2 linked regions of the Drosophila melanogaster genome follow. The gene in region 2 interacts genetically with the main gene of each other region. Each region holds a gene or a part of one and is shown on either strand. Other genes may lie near its edges. The genes, in order: p and or.

Region 1 (3,926 bases), on a different chromosome or scaffold from region 2:
AACAAAAACGAATTGGATATTACAAAAAATTACAAAAAATCCTTCGAGCCGGATTTGAACCAGCGACCTATGGATTTCTATTGCATAATTTTCCAACTACAGTCCACCGCTCTACCAACTGAGCTATCGAAGGTTGAGTTCAAACTTGGCCGTTGTTCGTTTTATGCATGCGCACAAACGAAATGCACCGTATTTGGTTATTTATTTTTGATTTTTACTTATTTAGGTCAAACAAAATTGATCAACTTTCTCTATTCAGTCCATTGCAGTAAGCCTATAGTTTCCAAGCCTAATAGCCTAGGCGCTTTTCACAAACTATATCAATTTAGTTACGGTTTATTTCTTCCAAATAAAATCCTTCTTATATTATTTAGTTTAAACAGCTCAGTTATATTCTGAATGTCTGTAGATGAATTAAATTGATTTAAATTGTGCACTACAAAATATATAAAAAAAAAGGTATGTGCACTACAAAATATATAAAAAAAAGGTATTTATATCTTTTCGATCCTTCGAGCCGGATTTGAACCAGCGACCTATGGATTTCTATTGCATGTTTTTCCAACTACAGTCCACCGCTCTACCAACTGAGCTATCGAAGGTTAAATTCGCTTGCGGCTAATTCACCTTTTGTTCAGGAGCGAGGTGGGGAAAGTGACAAAAAGAGAGGGCACTTCTCTTAAACACCGCTGCTCTTTAATACTCGCGGCCAGAAAAATAGGACCTTAAATTCTTGTAAACTTATATTAAATACTAAAGCATTGTAAATCTTAATGAGAAAATATTCAGGTACAACTGTTCATGGCTTAATTTTAGACCAAAATTGTGCATGAATTTAGAAAGGCAGCAATGCACTATTTGAAACTAACTAGTTACCCACCCACAGCTGTGCACCGATAAAGGGGTGGTGTGCGAGCAAAGATGCCATATTTATACATATATCCATCTCGTTCCAGCGCCGACGATAGACGATACCGATACTTTGCGAGTCCGCTCCCAAGATTGAGCCCCCACAGCGTAAAAGCGACCGAAGTGCCGGCGACGAGAGCAGTTCGTTCCCAGAAGCCGGCAGCAGTGGTCCGTTGATAACTCCGACTCGAGCTACTTATCCACCACGTCGATACTCTTGTCTGTCTATTGCAAACATAGAGGAGTCACCCTTTGGCTAACGAATCCGAAACTCCCGAGTTTTGTTGTGCAACATATCAAAAACCGCATTTGTTCGGATCCAATTTACATTCGCATTTCAAAGATGTCGTACCACAAGCCCGAAGCTAAGACCGTCCAGGATCTGAAAGATCTGGCCCAGAAACTGCGAATTCACTCTATCAACGCCACCCAGGCCTCCAAATCGGGGTAAGTTTATCAATAACTGAAAGTCCATAGGCATATTAAAGTGTGCGTATTTAGATTTGTTTGTGTAGATGTGAATTTTAAAAGTTGTGCACCTTGCACTTGTTGCTTCAAAGGTGACCCCCTCCATTTCCAGGGTGGGTGCGAAAAAGTTTTTGAGGGGGCTGCTAAATACATACATACATATGTATGTGTTTTGAAACATTACAAAAGAAAATAAAACAAAAATAGTTACGCATATACATAGTTATGCATCTATGTTTGTATGAATGTGAGAAGTAAAATATGGGAAGACCGGTTCCTTTAGTGACCCCTCCTGGGATTCAGTTGCCAACCCACGTGTTGTCCAGTAGCTTTAGTGAATTTGCGAATTTGTTGCCCTGCCTGCGTGCTCAGTGATAAGCCGCGTTCACCTACCTTAAATTGTGAGCTAATATTTTTTGACCTTAGACAACCTTGAAACGTTAGGTTTTTCTTACTGCCTTTTAATTTCTTTTGCTTTTGTTTTGTGCGTGGCGTTCAAAACGCCGAAAGCACATACATATGTACATGGGGTAAAAACAAACATACTTACATATCAAACAGAGGCATTTAATATACGTATGTACATATGTACATACAAGTGTTGGAAAGCACAGCTTGTGACGGGAGTGGAATTGGAAAGAGAGGGATGAGAATAGTAATGGAATGATCCCCTACACTTGAGATTTACGACTGTATGGCTTTTAATGTAATTATATCTCGGATAGACGCGATCAAATTATTACTGCAACAGTAAATAAAAAAGTTACTATGCTGATAAGGAAAACACTTTTATCGCCTCCATTAGTTTTTCCATTCTGTTTCGTTTTTTTTTTTTTTTGTGACGGTTCAAGATAAGATCTGCTCTGTTTGCTCTAAATGTGACCTCTGCCGACGAGATAAGCCCGGTTTGGTTACTCATTGACCACGATATGACCGATTAGAGGTGACCAGCTCAAGTGTGTTCCCCGCATGATAATCGAAAATCACTGAAAACTGATAAAAAAAAAAAAAGCGCGCCGGGTCACTGCTAACACTCCGTATCACCTTCAATAGTTCTTGATATGGCTGCAGGAAACGGGGACGCACTTCGGAACTATCTAGAAGCACGTGCGTTCACAAAGATCGCCATGCAACACAATCGTGGAAGCCAAGAATTTGGTTTTTAAGGCTATTATTTAGGTTTTTTGGTGATCAGAAAAGTTCAAGGTCCCAGAAACCGGTGAGGAATTGCGATGGACTCACGTCGCGACAAACACACATATCACACCATATAACGCCAATAAATACATATGCATGTACTCGTTATAGTTTATTTATATGTCTGGGGTAAGACGAGCCCCCCATTTTGTCTGGGGTTGCGTGTTTTCTTTGCGGTTGGAGTTGTGCCAGATCTGCGATTCAAAGCAATTTTTTTTGGAACACGATCGCATGGGAACATTGAATTCCAAGAATGGATCTTATCTTATTTATATGTACATTGCAATTGGATACTCGAGAAATCTTCATTTGAAATATGAACAGAGGGGGGGGGGGGGGTTTAAATAAAAGCTTCAATAGACAAATGGATTTCTTTTATTAAACAACGTTTTTAACAAGTATGCACAGTGTTCAGTTCCACTTTTCCTTTGTTGATCGGCCTTCACTTACCCACCGTGAGGTCGACTTCTATAATTCATTAGGCACTTACCTTAACCTAGAACTACATGCAAACGAAATGCCTTGTCACAATCTAATATTTTGCCTACTTTTCCCTCTTTATAGCCATCCCACATCATGTGCCTCGATCGCTGAGATCATGTCCGTGCTGTTCTTCCAGCAGCTGCGCCTGAACCTGAAGCACCCACGCGATCCCTCCAGCGATCGCTTCATCCTGTCCAAAGGACACGCTGCTCCCATTCTGTATGCCGCCTGGGCTGAGGCTGGTCTCTTCCCCATCGCGGATCTGAACAACCTGCGCAAGATCGACAGCGATCTGGAGGGTCACCCGACGCCTCGTCTGAACTTCATCGATGTGGGCACTGGATCCCTGGGACAGGGTGTCGCCGTCGGCGCTGGCATGGCCTATGTGGGCAAGAACTTCGACAAGGCCGACTACCGCACCTACGTGGTGGTGGGTGATGGTGAGTCCGCCGAGGGTTCCATCTGGGAGTCGCTGCACTTTGCCGGCCACTATAAACTGGACAACCTTTGCGTGATCTTTGATGTGAACCGCTTGGGCCAGTCGGAGGCCACCTCCCTGCAGCATAAGCTGGATGTTTACCGTGATCGTCTGGAGGCCTTCGGCTTTAATGCCGTCGTTGTCGATGGTCATGATGTCGAGGAATTGAGCAAGGCTTTCCATTGTGCTGCAATCACCAAGAACAAGCCCACCGCCATCATTGCAAAGACGTTCAAGGGCAGGGACTTCCCCAACATCGAGGATTTGGACAACTGGCACGGCAAGCCACTGGGCGACAAGGCCGCCGAAGTGGTGAAGCATCTGGAGGGACTGATTGTCAACAAGAACGTCAAGCTGACCCCTAAGCCGGTGCCCAAGACTGGTGCTGCTC
Region 2 (3,829 bases):
CATAGAGAACGATGCAGAAATCTGTCAGCCTCCGAAGGTCAGCGAACCCATTCCTCCGATGCCTCCTGAACCTGCGCCGTCTTCCAAATTCGTTGATCCAAATCGAACTGTCGAAGCTCCAGCTGCTCCCTCTCCCTTCCACTTACCATTAAGTGGTCGTGATCAATGGGACGCATTTGGCGAACTAATCGCCAGTGAATTCCGTAACCTGAACTCTGAAGTTTCGCGCAAGAGGCTGAAGCGGAAAATAATGCAAGTTATGCTGGAAGTCGGCGAAGAAGATGATCTTACAAACAGTTGATTGTAGAATTATGAACATGTTTAATACAGCGGACACCGTTTTAGGTATAAATCTTTAATATATGCAGCACACAGATCATGCGAATACGTCATCGCAAGACACTTTGTATGTACATTTTAAACCCCATTCGATATAGAACGGAAGTGGTTGAACTTCGCATTGTTAAGCTATCAAAATCGTAAGGCTCGTTCTCGCTACTGGTAATTCATTTGCATTTTTATTATGGTAGGGGAGTTATATAGAGTACGTGGGACCTAATATTACGGAACAGTCGACAGCTGTTGGAAATTCATGAAGGACTGCGAAAAAGCACTAGATTCAACAGATTACAATTAGACGAGAGAGTTATATCAGACGCACATTTGTCAGAACTTAAAGTCCTTAATGGCCTGCGGCAGATCAGGTAGCTTGATGTCTTTAATCTGTTGCGGAATGTTCATACTCTTCACGGCGCTCACAGCTCGGGCAGGTGCAGCCGAGATGCCCGCTTCCTGCTTGACGATCTTGTTCTGCTCCTCGATCCTGGCCATTATGTCGTTCATATTTGTCTGCAGGACCATTCCGCCCATTACCAGTTCTGAAACGAATTCATGATAGCTGAATCTGAATGGATTGCCAAAGTAGCTTTCCCAACCTGAGAGGATGTGGTGGACGGCATCGGCGTGGAATATCAGGTCCAGCTCACACACGTTTTCGAAGCACTTGTCGAGGGTTTCCACGAACACCTGAATCAGGTCCAGGATTCCCAGTTCGCTCTCCGAGGAGTCCACGCAGAAAACGAAGTACAGCGTGGCATAGTGTCTGTAGATGAGTTTGTAATCCGATCCGCCAATCAAACTGTTGGAGGAAAGAGGTGCTTTAAGATATTCCAGGAATTTGCGGGAACAATATTGCTCACCTTCCGCCCTCCAGAAAGTTGCAAACATTATCGTCCCGCTTGGACACCAATTGGAAAGTCTCTTTGATTATTTGTTGCTGCAGGCTTTCATCCTACAAATGATAGTGACAATTTATTATGAACTAGATTATATGGATTATATGTCGCAGTACTTACGAAATACTGATAGAACTTCGATAGCCGCGGCTTCCCGTGATTGTTAAAAACGAGAATGGCTTTTATCATCTCAACTTCTAAGATAAGTCAACAAAAAAAATGAAAATGTTTAAACTGCCAGCTGTTTTGCTTTTTCGACGAGGGCTGCAAAATCAATACTTGGTATAGCATCTATAATATCGATATATCTTTATCTGACGTATTTATTTCAAAAATCTAATAAGAATCATGCATATTTTAGAAAGTTAGGGAAAATATATTTTTTAAAGCAATTTCTTAAATCGGGTGTTAAAAATCCGTACAAAAAAAAATTCTATGGATTTCTGATTGTTGCCCATCTCTAATGCCTTTAACCTCGCGGTCTCCGATTTGTTTATTTCTTATTTTTATTGAATTATGAATATTTTGACAAAAGTAAAATACAGCTGCAGGTACTCTGGGTTTTATTTTGTAACTCCCTTTAGTTAACGTATAGTTTGCAGGGTGAGCTCGGTTTTAAACAGAGATGTGAAGCAGCACGGAAAGCAATTCATGTTTGATACGCGGGAAGAAACTTCTTGGAATTCAGATGAGGTATCATCCTAAGATTTGGAAAAAAAGAATATAACTCCAAACGGCCATTTCAGGGAACCCCCCAATTCATTACCATTAGCTTGGAGGAGCCACAGAAAGTAGCTGGATTTAGTTTCCAGTTCCAAGGCGGATTCTCTGGCCAAAAATCCGAACTGATCATGTACTCCGCTGACGGAGCCCAAGTTCACCAAGAGCCATTCTACCCAGAAGATATCAACTCCCCACAGCTTTTTCAGATTGCGGAATCAGTCCGGGAAAACCCCTGCTCAAAGCTAAAGTTCGTCTTCGAGTCCAGCACCGATCTATTTGGTAGAATCATTGTTTACGATCTCCAGCTGTTCGGCTAGTCTCTGACCCAATAGATCTTACTAAATGTGTACAAAATCTTCTCTAATCAAAGTGTATAAAATCGGATCATTATCTATTGTGGTATTATCAAAAACATTGGTCCGTAATAGGATGGTCATGGTTATCAGCAATAATTGTGCTGATTCAGCCTGCCACTGCTGAAATTGATATGCGACTAATTTCATATAAATATTTCAAACTAGGTAAGCCCTTTAAGTGCTTACGAGTGTGGATCAAGGTTCAATGAAAATATTTCCACGCGATTCCCCAATTTGAATATCATTTGCATGGAGCTGGCTCGAAAAACACGCAACTTCATAGCGAAGGTGACACTCTAGTCCATGTCTTATCACCCCATATAGAAGCGTCATCAATCAGCTTAGCCCATTCCAATTGAAATTTCGTCATTTATGTATATTGCACCAAAACCATTGTTTATTTGTCCAAAACCGCACAGATAATTTAGGCATAGCTTTATGATTCGAATGCTTCATTTATAGTCGTGTTTCCAAGAGGCAACTATGCTGCAAGCGAGATCTCCAGGCGAGGGCAGTTGGGAATGCCACACTCCAGATCCGGGGAGGTGTCCTGGTGCCAGCAGCTCTCCGAGTTGCAGAACATGCATGCGTTGGGCGAAAGAGGGACGTTTGTAGAGAGGTCCACCATTTCCCACACTTTCTTTAGATCGGTAACCAGGGCGTTCATCATTTCAAAAGTGTGGAACGGGGTGGGGGCCAGCCGCAATTTCTCCTGGCCCCGGGCGACGGTTGGGTAGTTAATCGACTGCAGGTAGTGTCCGAATTGTTCGATCAGCACGTTTGAGATTTGACTGCTCTTCAGAGGGTCTCCGATCTTAATGGGAATGATGTGGCTGGGCGTTTCTTCGACGGGGAAACCTGAAATGGGGCCAATTATATATGCAGTCAGTAAACTGAAAGTTAAGTGTCTCTTTCTATATTTATAGCCATCACTTAAAATAAAACGAAAGTGCGAGAATAACCTTCAATTCGAGTTACATAAATGCCAGAATTACGTCTTACCTTCTCGCTTCAGCAGGCTCTTCAGGTAGGAGACGTTCCGTTGGTGCAAGTGGCGCAGCTGGCGACCCTCCTCCGATGCCAGGATATTGACGGCCTCCAGGGCGCCACACAGTACAGTCGGCGGTAGTGAGGTGGTGAAGATGAAACCGGCCGCATACGACCGAATCATGTCGACCAGGTTATGGGTGCCAGCTATGTAGCCACCAATATTACCGAACGCCTTGCCCAGGGTGCCCGATATGATGTCCATTTTGTGCAGCACACCATCCCGCTCACCGACCCCGGCCCCGTGGTCACCGTACAATCCCACGGCGTGCACCTCGTCGATGAACGTGATGGCCCCGTGCTCGTGGGCCACGTCAAGCAGCTCCTCGAGCGGGCAGATGGCCCCCGTCATGGAATGTACCGTCTCGAATGCGACGATCTTGGGCACGCTTTTGTCCGTCTGCTTCAGCAGCTGATGCAAGTGGTCCACGTCGTTGTGCCGGAAGATGTGCTTGGGAACCCCGCTGT

The links.
Region 1: of or (region 2) and p, changing one enhances a phenotype caused by changing the other (phenotypic enhancement), as found in Drosophila melanogaster (one study listed by BioGRID).

Annotation. Positions count from the first base shown.
Region 1 is NT_033777.3:8,668,573-8,672,498, forward strand, and holds the start of p (pink), read right to left. Parts: upstream 2,113-3,926; 5' UTR 1,928-2,112; intron 1,357-1,927; coding exon of another isoform or gene 1,253-1,356; exon of another isoform or gene 957-1,252; intron 603-956; exon of another isoform or gene 509-602; intron 134-508; exon of another isoform or gene 40-133; intron 1-39. Other genes in the region: CG8036 (uncharacterized protein), read left to right, coding at 1,253-1,356, 3,139-3,926. UniProt on the Drosophila melanogaster protein: Has a role in the biogenesis of eye pigment granules. Eye pigment granules are specialized forms of late endosomes or lysosomes. Biogenesis of pigment granules in the eye requires molecular components required for protein delivery to lysosomes.
Region 2 is NT_033778.4:23,965,615-23,969,443, reverse strand, and holds or (orange), read right to left. Parts: upstream 1,506-3,829; 5' UTR 1,425-1,505; coding exon 1,356-1,424; intron 1,292-1,355; coding exon 1,200-1,291; intron 1,139-1,199; coding exon 936-1,138; intron 879-935; coding exon 667-878; 3' UTR 501-666; downstream 1-500. Other genes in the region: CG10904 (uncharacterized protein), read left to right, coding at 1-301; CG34213 (uncharacterized protein), read left to right, coding at 1,752-1,786, 1,838-1,928, 1,982-2,275; Alas (aminolevulinate synthase), read right to left, coding at 2,796-3,172, 3,317-3,829.